Linked DNA regions of Bombyx mori. The protein of the gene in region 1 interacts with the protein of each later gene in a biochemical or structural test. Links are inferred from orthologs where the notes say so. Each region holds a gene or a part of one and is shown in the gene's direction. Other genes may lie near its edges. The genes, in order: Ubcd4, E3 ubiquitin-protein ligase Nedd-4 and anaphase promoting complex subunit 11.

What was found.
Region 2: the proteins of Ubcd4 (region 1) and E3 ubiquitin-protein ligase Nedd-4 form a complex in vitro, tested with the Homo sapiens proteins (2 studies listed by BioGRID). The link is inferred for Bombyx mori from reciprocal best matches to the Homo sapiens genes UBE2K and NEDD4L.
Region 3: the proteins of Ubcd4 (region 1) and anaphase promoting complex subunit 11 form a complex in vitro, tested with the Homo sapiens proteins (3 studies listed by BioGRID). The link is inferred for Bombyx mori from reciprocal best matches to the Homo sapiens genes UBE2K and ANAPC11.

Annotation. Positions count from the first base shown.
Region 1 is NC_085107.1:6,308,265-6,312,022, forward strand, and holds the start of Ubcd4 (ubiquitin conjugating enzyme 4), read left to right. Parts: upstream 1-1,480; coding exon 1,481-1,543; intron 1,544-3,758. UniProt on the Homo sapiens protein: Accepts ubiquitin from the E1 complex and catalyzes its covalent attachment to other proteins. In vitro, in the presence or in the absence of BRCA1-BARD1 E3 ubiquitin-protein ligase complex, catalyzes the synthesis of 'Lys-48'-linked polyubiquitin chains.
Region 2 is NC_085125.1:1,983,983-1,987,640, forward strand, and holds part of E3 ubiquitin-protein ligase Nedd-4, read left to right. Parts: intron 1-62; coding exon 63-197; intron 198-1,017; coding exon 1,018-1,142; intron 1,143-1,538; coding exon 1,539-1,680; intron 1,681-1,883; coding exon 1,884-2,093; intron 2,094-2,477; coding exon 2,478-2,584; intron 2,585-3,658. UniProt on the Homo sapiens protein: E3 ubiquitin-protein ligase that mediates the polyubiquitination of lysine and cysteine residues on target proteins and is thereby implicated in the regulation of various signaling pathways including autophagy, innate immunity or DNA repair.
Region 3 is NC_085118.1:13,747,623-13,751,380, forward strand, and holds the start of anaphase promoting complex subunit 11, read left to right. Parts: upstream 1-1,018; 5' UTR 1,019-1,200; coding exon 1,201-1,219; intron 1,220-1,229; exon of another isoform or gene 1,230-1,433; coding exon 1,434-1,669; 3' UTR 1,670-1,676; exon of another isoform or gene 1,677-2,717; intron 2,718-3,758. UniProt on the Homo sapiens protein: Together with the cullin protein ANAPC2, constitutes the catalytic component of the anaphase promoting complex/cyclosome (APC/C), a cell cycle-regulated E3 ubiquitin ligase that controls progression through mitosis and the G1 phase of the cell cycle.

The DNA of each region.
Region 1 (3,758 bases):
AATTCTATAGGTATTTTATTTAGTAATTGTTGTGTGAGCATTTGAACAAAATTCAACAGAAGAAATATTATTTTCCACAAAAATTATTATGTTTTTACATTTATTCAAATTGCAATAATTAGTCACCAATGTAGTCAGTACACTTATATATTTTATGTCAGTATTCACATGTTATATTAGCTATTTGAATAGACATTGATGTAGAATTAAGTCTAATATTTGCATTTAATACTAGAGTATTTAGGTTTGAAACTGACTACTTATTACTCTGAATTCCGTTCTTTGTGTGTATTGTGAACCGTTTTCATAAGTGCTCACTGTTGATAACTTCTTAAAAATATATTTTCGTTATTGATGAACAAGATAGCTCATTCTTTTGAAGTGACTTTATTAAATTTGTAATAAGCAATTGCTGTGTGTTAGAATTTTACCTTTACACCTTTAACAGCACACTTTTAATTTTATTATGATTGTCTAATTTGGTTACTTATACACTAAAATGTTAGAATTACATTAGTTTTCTATAAAGTTACACGCCTTTTATCTTGTAATTAAGTAAACAAATGCATTATTTTTATTGTTTGGATAATGTTAAGCATCCTCAGTAAATCATTTATAGAATTTTATTAAGTACTGGTAACGACTGTACACAATGAAGTGTGTATTCGGGAACAACGGGCGCCCTTCATAGCCTTGCACGAGTTATTTATGTATGCGAGAGCATCATGTTCTTATTTCAAACACCATTTATTTTTAAATTCATAACATAAACTACTATTGGATTGAGGTACTTAGCATGCATTAGACAAAATTTTAACATAAACATTATCACAACGCACCTTTAAGCGCCAGGTACATAGGTGGAACCCGGTGACATAGGGAGTAAATTAACATAACTTCGTCCTTAGACTGTTTATAACACTGGTCATACCTCAAAATAAGACCTAAAACTTACTCACTATTATTAACAGCAAACATCACGAAACTAAATTAACTTTTATTTTAATATTGCGAATAGGAAATCACAGACGGTAATAAAATTATTGCCACACATTCAAACCAACCACAGTACACAACTTGACTTGAAGCCTATTGAAATGCGTTTACGAATGCGAGGTCTGTTTCTCTTTAAAATCTCATGCAAAATGTTGAGTGATCTGTGAGATTTCTGAACGAAATACAGAGAAAGTAAAATTCATAGAGAAAGAAAACTACCGAAAATTATTGCAATGATATGGTAATACCGTTAGTAAGTGAGAAGAGAATGTCAAATTTATATTTTTAGTCTATGTTCGACGTCAGGGTGTGGTAGAATTTAATTTCAGATATAGTGGTAAACATTTGCTCGGAATACGTTTTTGAAAACTCTTTGGTAGAATATCCTGGTATCAATCTCTTTATTTCATCGCCTGCGATCGTGCGCTTTAAACGTTTTTGAATCCAGTAAAGCAATAAGTGAAAATTAAGTAGAATTTTAACAATGGCAAATATAGCAGCCAAACGTATAAAAAGAGAGTTCAAAGAGATAATGAAAAGTGAAGAGGTATGGATAATAATTTAACTAAACTTTATATTTGTTTTGATGTTTAGAATGTAGAACTGGAGTTACTTGCACTTTTGTTAAAATGTCATATTTTGTTGGAATGCATTATTATTATTTAGATAGTTAAATTGCCCAAGAAACTAAATTGTTGGATTGTCTCGATATAATAAAACAAAGAACAAATAGCCAGTTCAGAACAATGTGTGCGTGATTCAGCAAACTTGTAGAAATCATGTTTTGTTTAAATTCAAAACGTTAATGCTATTTTTAATTCGTCGAAAAGGAATTATTTTACTGCTTCGTAATAGTAAAATTAGCTTTTCAAAATACATCTATAATGTTTTTCGTGATTCATACGAGAAAAAGTAAACATTTTGTTTTCTATATTTTCTACCAATGTTTTTAATAGAAACAATACTTATATTACCCACATTGATCTTTATAAGTAATTGAAGTTGTGTTTAAAATAAAATAAAAGATTTTATCCGATTTATGCCCAAGCAAAAGTATTTTTGGCTTATTTATCAAATCACAGTTATGACACTGGTGGCTTCAGGCAACCATTTACTTCCAAAAAGCCAGACATAGTACAGGTATTTTTACATTATTTTGGATTTATTCCCTCATTATTGATTGCCATTGAAATAGAACTTGTGTGTGGGGCACCAGCATCCCCTTGTATATGTGTTCAGCTTACCAAGTAGCAATATTTACACATAACATACCGAATTTTTTTAAATTAAATATCTGTAGCACTATTGTCATGGACAGATTGCCTTATTTATTGCAATTGTAAGAGCACACCTGCGTGCAATGCATGTAATACATTAATGTACCGAACATGATCCAGGCGATACTAAGCTAACAGCATTCATAATCCACATTTTGATTACAATAGTAATTGTCCTCATAAACATGAACTAGACGATGACCGAGCTTTGCTCGGTATTAATTTTTTTTTTGATAAATTGTCTTTCGGTTGGCTTAACAACGTCATCTGTGGAAATAACTTTAGTGTTATTGTGTCTTTAAACAATTATGAAAAATAGTATTATTATTCGCCAATATATGTCGGGAAGTCATAAAGTTGATTATCGATAAAGTTGATTATTGAAAACACAAGTAAAACAACATTTCCTAAAATAAATTCTAGCTAGATCGATTTATCGCTCCCTGAAATCCCATGTATACTAAATTTCATAAAAATCGTTGGAGCCATTTCCGAGATTCAGATTATATATATATACAAGAATTGCTTGTTTAAAGGTATAAGATTCTGTGTTTGTGTAGACTAAGAATATTAAATATCTCAGTCCTAGCCCAAACCCAGCAAAAACTGAATTTTTCATTAGACAAAGTTTTTGCACTTCCTGCAAGTATGTGCTCTCCAATTAGCAAGTATCTTTTACTGCCTAGGTTGTATCTGAAAGCTAGCATGTGTAGTAAGAAGGTTACTCCTACTTAAAATATCTGCACTGCATTAGCACCAAGGCCCAATTTTTGTTTATTTATATATAGTGTAGATTATTGGAACTATCTTCTTATTGAGATCCATATTAAGAGTTTTTCAGGAATACCATTCATTAAATTGAATTACCAGGGCTCTTGCATTTACTTTTCTTAACCTTCTGTACTGAAATAATATACTGTACAATGACACATTGTGTAATTGTGTTAGTCATATTTGTATATCTAAAAGTGCATACTTGCTGCATTGTAAGCTTGCACAATTTCTTATCTCTCTCTAACCTTTAGCTTCTGCACGGCTGCCCACTGAGATCTTCTAGCACCTCACATCTAAATGGAACAAATGTTTATGTTTCTGCAAATATAAACAGCAGGGAAAACAAAGAGGGTTGTAATTGCCAGGAGGAGTGGGATTTGCTAACAACTGCCTTAGCACCTCTAAAGAAAACCTGCCATCTCAAGGGCAATTGCTTCACGAATTCATCTTCTACCAGACCGGAATTGCGCCCCACTGAGAAGATCTGGCGAGAAATTTAGCAGGCTCTAAATGTTATAGAGGGTAGATTTACTTTGAACTCTGACGAGTTTGATGAGTTCGGTTAGCAGGGTTCCTATACTTGCTCCTAGTGTTAGAGTTGCAGGTATCTAATGCAAGAGTTATTGGATCAGATAGATCTGTAAGGACGTGTCTAGAACGTCAACGATGACTGACTCCTGTGTGAGTCTGTGGCGATATACTTGCTCCTAG
Region 2 (3,658 bases), on another chromosome or scaffold:
CTGATCACAGCTGAACAGGGTATTGTGTTGCGTGATTCACTGCAGTGTGTTTGGGGCGTCAGGTTGCGCGTCCAGCCTGCCCAGCGCGGAGGCGGGCGGTGCGGGGGGCGCGGGGGACGGGGACGAGCTCGGCGCCCTGCCCGAGGGCTGGGAGGAGCGCGTCCACACCGACGGCAGGATATTCTTCATCGACCACAGTGAGTCTGTTCGCGATATTTAACTTGTCTACATTTATATCTAAATAGCTGTACCCGTCCGCTTCGCTGGCCATTTAAAATGATCCTTATTATTTCTCACTCCACAAAGATTCTCATCATTAACGTCCCCGCAATTGGTGTAGGGAGTCCAACACTCATATAAATATTACCCTATCCATTAAGTACATGTATTTTCTTCTTTCTGTTTTATCGGATGCACGGTTCAGTAGTTATAACGGAACATCCGTAAAAACCACTGTGGATTTATATATTAGTATAGATTACTGGAGAATTGTTCTCTGAGAGGTCTCTGAGGGGCTACTTACCAACAGGTATCATGCGGTTGAGCCGGTTGTTAATGTAACTAAATCTAACTTGTATTATATACATGTCTTTATGAATTGTCCCGGTCACCGTTCTCGTCGAACCCGTCGCTTGCGGTGAAGGGCTCGACGAGTAAATTAACCCACACACAGCCCACTGAGTTTCTCGCCGGATCTTCTCAGTGGGTCGCGTTTCCGATCTGGTGGTAGATTTTGCGAAGCACTGCTCTTGCTAGGGTCAGTATTAGCAACACTTCGGCTTGAGCCCCGTGAGCTCACCTACACGTTAAGGTGAAGCTGAAATAGCCTCTCAAGGCTATAAGAACTTAACTAGACGCGACCTGAATGTCCTCGTCCTTAACAACCTTCGGTCTATCACTGCATACTGTACAACCAAGCGCTTTGGGTGATCTAGCAAAATATACATTATTGCAATGCACTAAGAACTTGGTGAAAACGACTCAAGGCAGTCTCATGACGTCGAACACGTTCCTCAGATACGCGTACCACACAATGGGAGGACCCTCGCCTCTCCAACCCTCAAATCGCTGGACCGGCCGTGCCTTACTCGAGAGATTACAAACGGAAATACGAATACCTTAAGAGTCAACTTCGTAAGCCTGTAAGTCTTTTGAATAGCACAGTCTATGACATTGACAATGTTATTAGGTCGTCAATTATGCGTACAATGCTTCTGACATAGCTGATGTCGAAGAACGATAATAATAATCTCAATTAAAAAAGATGTAGGCTTGTGTACTTTCACTAACACACAAAATTGTTAAAAAAAATAGAAATGAAGATATATATACATGTATCAAGGCAGGTAAAGCTATGTGCTTAATTTAACAGCAGATGGGTTGTAAACACGTCCGCCCATGGGCAGTAATAAAATATTGAAAAGAATGTCTTTGGCAGCGGCACATATAGTACCGTCACGCGAGAGCTCTCCAAAATGTAATAAAAGGTACTTGTGAATAAATGGGTTTATATTGAAGTCCCTACTATTTGTTTACAGAACAACGTGCCAAACAAATTCGAGATAAAAGTGCGTCGGAACTCGATATTGGAAGACTCGTACCGCATCATCAGTTCGGTTAGCCGGCTGGATCTGCTTAAGACTAAGCTGTGGGTCGAGTTCGAATCCGAAGTGGGGCTAGGTGAGTAAACTGTGACAACCCTGGTTTCCTCCTCTTCTCTATTTTTTTAAAGAGGAAGTCATTTTTGGGAAAGGGGTTAAGTATGTATTTCATTAGAAAAAAACAGGGAATCCACCTGCGGAATTTTCCCTGACGCTCATGCAGCTGACGCGAAATCTTCAACATACTAAAAATGCTAACTAAAGTGTGCGATTGGTGCGCAGACTACGGCGGCCTTGCCCGCGAGTGGTTCTTCCTGCTGTCGAAGGAGATGTTCAATCCGTACTACGGCCTGTTCGAGTACTCCGCCATGGACAACTACACGCTGCAGATCAACCCGAACAGCGGCGTGTGCAACGAGGAGCACCTCAACTACTTCAAGTTCATCGGCCGCGTGGCGGGCATGGCCGTGTACCACGGGAAGCTCCTGGATGGTGAGTCGCCAGCTCGCACTAGCCCTTTTGTAGCGAAAAGGGCCTTACGTTTAAATTTTCGCGACAAACTCGAGCTCGCGTGCGTCTATTGAGCCCGCCAGGGTCCGTATTATTCCCGTTTTCAGGTAAGGACCTGAGTACCGCTAATATAGAACTGTTTTATCCAATATTAATGATTTACAGTAACATAAATGTACCTTCACTTGAGTGTCGCGATTTTGTAAAGAGTACGTTAGGTACTTCACTGAATTAGATAATGTGCTCTAATCCGTGTCTCAAATTGCATCTCGGTGCCCTGACCCCGGCTGCTAGACGTGGGTCTAGCTCTAAAACCTTTATGGTGTAAGGAAACAATATTAACGAATGATGTATCTATCTCTTCAGCGTTCTTCATTCGACCGTTCTACAAGATGATGCTGGGTAAAGCCATCGATCTACACGACATGGAGTCCGTGGACTTGGAATACTACAACTCTCTGATGTGGATCAAGGTACGCTCTGATGAGATTATACTACTTACTTGTTGCATAATGATCCACCCGCTGCAAGACAGAACTCGTTCGATCTCTTCGGCTTTTAGCGAAGCTATCAGCCGTTTTTTTCTCTATTTTGTGTTAGTGTGTTTGCACGGCTTAGTATTTCTCTGGTGGTTGCCTTGTGAGCCCTCACTGGGAGAATCACCCTGTCAATCGCCAATCAGTAATGAGTTTCGAAGCGAAGGGTGGGCCAACCGTTATACTTATTAAACTGCCCTTCATGACAAGAGTTTTTTTAGTATGTCAACAAGAATATTTAATAAAACTACCTATAAAAATTTTCGTAGACGGTAGATTTACAAGATTTTAAGCGAAAATTGCTATACTATGTCAGAATATTTAGACGATAACATTAGATAACTTAGATGATAAAGTAGAATAGAGTTAAATTATTATAATTTATGTTTAATATTTTTATGTAGATTATACTTACAACTAATATTTGTACGCTTTACTAGCAGGACATAGTGATACATATATTAATAATAACCTATTAATCTTTGTTAACCTATTACCACAAAAAATAATAAAATAAAAATAAATACTATTGAGACTTAGTCATCATGTCTAACAGAGGCTTTTGACGGTTATGTAGTGATGTCTATGAGCTCCGGTATATAATTAACATGTGGACTGCTATGTAGGTCACCGGTGCTCTACCTGACTCACTGAACTAATTATGTAGATTTTTCTCTTCGATCTTCTTACTAAGACGCCGGAATATCTAGTAGACTCTGGGAATGACGAATCTATAGATATTGAAAATGAATCTATTCCTAAGAAGCCTAAAAGACTAAAAATTGCATTAAAAACAAAAGAAGGCAAAGTTAGGCAATCCAGACGCTTGGCGACAAAAATCGAAATAATTACTTCAGTGCGCCGCGTAGGGCACCTGTGACCTACACGACAGTCAACGTGTTAACAACAGACGGACAGAAATACATTAATAAATTGTAATATATAACGTTACAACTGAGACTAAATCAATAAATTCGGTTTGAAGAGTTTTTTTTTTATTGCTTTGATGGG
Region 3 (3,758 bases), on another chromosome or scaffold:
TTCTCATTTCGTCCCAATTAACCGCAATTTCCGGGTAAATAGGGATTACACCTATTTTTGCTTTTTTTGCTTAAACTGGAATGCTAGTTGCATAGTTTTAAATTGGACAACAAAGATGCTCCCAAGACTCAATCATTTTGATCCTGATATAGCATTATATACATCAACAACTACCTTAAAATTGGTCATAAAGATGGAATTTGTCCCTAATCGCCCCATTTTACCGGTACTTGCGTATTTCAAGTTGCTTCCGCTTGCAGTTCTTTCACTGAAGTTCCAGTACATGTGTAATTTCTATTTTTAGTATTGTTTAAAAGTGATTTATTAAAGACCTTGTTTAGTTTTTAGTTCTTTTTATTTCAAATGATTTTTAGTAGTTTAATTGAGTTTGGTAATTTTTTTTTATTTCACTTAACATCATTTCAAAATATGGTACTCGTTTATGACTTCGTTTCATGTATCGATCCCCGTGCCTATCAGATTTTGAAATAAAATAATAAAAATTACACTTTGAAAATTTTCGAATTAACATCTGACAATTTTTTTAGCGGGAACGCAAGGCGCTAAGTTCTGTTAATTTTGTTAAAGTAGTGCTCATGTTTAAACGTGTAATAACGGTGATTATTACACTATTATTATACTATATTACATTATTAACTGTTTAGTATCTCTGAAGGTGCACAAATGTGGGAAAATGAAACAAATTCGCTGGACGTAGCTTCTCAAAAGCTTCCAAAAAGTCTTGGTGCATAACCACCACTCCACTGAGACTATATTTCATCACATCTCATCTCATTTCATTAACATCCTAATTGATTTACTGTCTCAAATTAATAAACTTCATCTCATTTCGCTCTATGGTTTTTCAAAACACAGAATTCACAGAATACACAAAAAATACGCTGTATGGTGTGATACCTTCGTTTTTCCAGTTCAAAAAATAAAGTAGCCGATAAGACTGACATATGACTGACATTAAAAACAAATTTATTTGATCTTACTTGATTTTACTTCAGTGGTTAGATTAATAAAATAAACATTATATTTTTAAAATTAGCACATAAACTTAAAGGCAAATGATAAATACTGAAAAAAATTTGTTCAGTCAACATATTATATCATAAAAATCGTTAATTTAATTATGAAGGATCTTAAGGTTAAATAAATCTAAAACTTCTATTTTAGCCTCATGATCGCGCTATGAAAGTAACTGTAAAAAGTAAGCACAATCTCTTTTTTTCATAATGTTTATTTTCCCTGGTTAATTTACACTTTATTCTTTGCAACTTAAAACACACTGACATTAAAGTAAATTAAGTAGTAATTTTTGCTAAGTGCCTTATTGTCATAGAGCACAATTCTTAAAAATTCCTCATACAAGGAAGAACCGATTGAAATTGAAATATTCACAGTAACGAGATAATTCATTTTAGGTTGGACAGGGGTTGCAACTTGGAGGTGGGTAGCAAACGACGACAATTGTGGGATTTGTCGTATGCCATTTGATAGCTGCTGTCCAGACTGCAAACTACCTGGGGACGACTGCCCTCTAGTTTGGGGTGCTTGCTCTCACTGTTTCCACATTCACTGTATCGTAAAGTGGCTACACTCTCAGCCTCAACAGCAGTGTCCTATGTGCAGACAAGACTGGAAGTTCAATAACAAGTGAAATATTCGTAAGTACATACCATAAATTAAGAAAATATAGTTTAAATAATAAATAAATATAGGTTTTTATTCTCACACTTTATTGTGTCACTGCTGTCCCATTTTGTAACTATATTTTGTTTACCAACCTATAAGGCTAGAATAATTTGGAAAAATTTATTGTTTGGTGTTTTCAAACTCAATAAGTAGTTAAATGGTTCGATGATTATAGAGTCACAAATCCTTATTAGTCATTTTTAGTTTAGTGATAACAAGTTTAAATCTCACCTTAACTTATTAATCAGGTGGTATGTAGTATAGAATATAGGGATTGATCTGCACATAATAGCAACTTTTATTATTAATGTCAGAATAATGCAAATCTAACATAAATGAAGTTGACAATATCACAACATTTTTCTTTCTTTGAAGCTTTGATTACGGAGTTCTACAGTTTCCTTCCTTTCATAATTCAGCAGAGTACTAAGTTTTAAAGACAAAAGGTTGCTACTATGCTAGTACAGATTAAATATTATTAAAGTTTTCTGTGAATTGTTGTACAAGGGATTGTCAAAAATATCATAATAACGAGGGGTGAAAGGTTATTATTTGGTTTAAGAGATAATATTCGATATTTATCTTTGTAATTAAAGGTGCATTTTATTTGATGTCAGTATAATTTTTTAATTGAACTTTAATTAAGCTAAAGAAGTTTTTTTTTTATTATGTTTTTTTTTTCAAATTTTAAACTTTAAATGGCTCTGCTATAAAGCTGCAAAAATGTCGCTCAAATCAAATAGCCTTTCACCCCGATATGAACTACTGATAAATTTAGATGTGTTGGTGAAATTAGCCTACCTTATGTTCTTTTTTTTTTTATTGCCCCTGTGGGCATACGGCCCACCTGATGGTGAGTGGTTACCGTCGCCCATGGACCTCAGCAATGCTAGGGGCAGAGCCAAGCCGCTGCCTACTGCTAAAATTTTCACTGCTTTTCCATTATTTGTATTTGGGCAGGGATTAGATGCAGTGTAGTTCGACTCCCACAACCTGAATTTGTTCAAACCACTCTGAAATTATAAATATTAGGTAATGATTATTAACAAAACATCTGTAGTGATAGAAAACAATCTCTGGAAAAATATTCTATAAGGATTCTGGATGATTTGCCTTTGGCACCAAATAATTTGGTCAAAGGGCAAATTATCTCTCCCAAAAAAACCAAAATACTGGGATACTCTTAAAATATAATCTTTATATACAGTATTTATAATATACTTTTTTACTGGGCATCGTTTCTGCCTGCACTGATAGTGACCACCATCCTACATATTTTTGCTGTGAAGCAGTAAAATGTAAACATTTGATGTGTGGAGCAGCCGATGTACTGTAAAAACTGACTTAGAAGTCATGTCACAGAATGGGTTGTGACAACTCATTAATCTCTCAGCAAAAATTAACTGTGAACCTTGCTGTCTATTCTTCGAGTTGCCTTTCGCAAAACTCACGAGAAGAGAGTGGATGCCATTCTAGGCCCTCTGGAGCTTAGTGTGCTGCATGCCGACATCGGTGTGTTTATAAACCAAAAAGGTCCCACATATTGCTTAACAGCACTTCAAAGAAATGTGATCAAAGCTGAAGTCCTGACAGGATACGTTGATGGCAAGCAATTTTTTTTGCCCCGAAATCGTCCTTTTAATTTTTTTAATTTTTCTTGTTGCTTCGATGGGTGGACGAGCTCACAGCCCACCTGATGTTAAGTGGTTATTGGAGCCCATAGACATCTACAAACTAAATACGCCACCCACGTTGAGATATAAGTTCTAAGGTCTCAGTATAGTTACAACGGCTGCCCCACCCTTCAAGCCGAAACGCATTACTGTTTCATGGCAGAAATAGGCGAAGTAGTGGTACCTACCCGCGCGGACTCACAAGAGGTCCTACCACCTACTTAATCAAATATCATTTAGTTTCAAACGCGTAATTTTTGTTTGGCAATGACGCGTAAATAATACACGCGGGGGTAGACATCTACCAGCTGCTTCGCGCATGGCCAATAGTAAGTAGTTCATTTATGTGCTAGTGATGTCAATAATCTGATTATGTAGGCA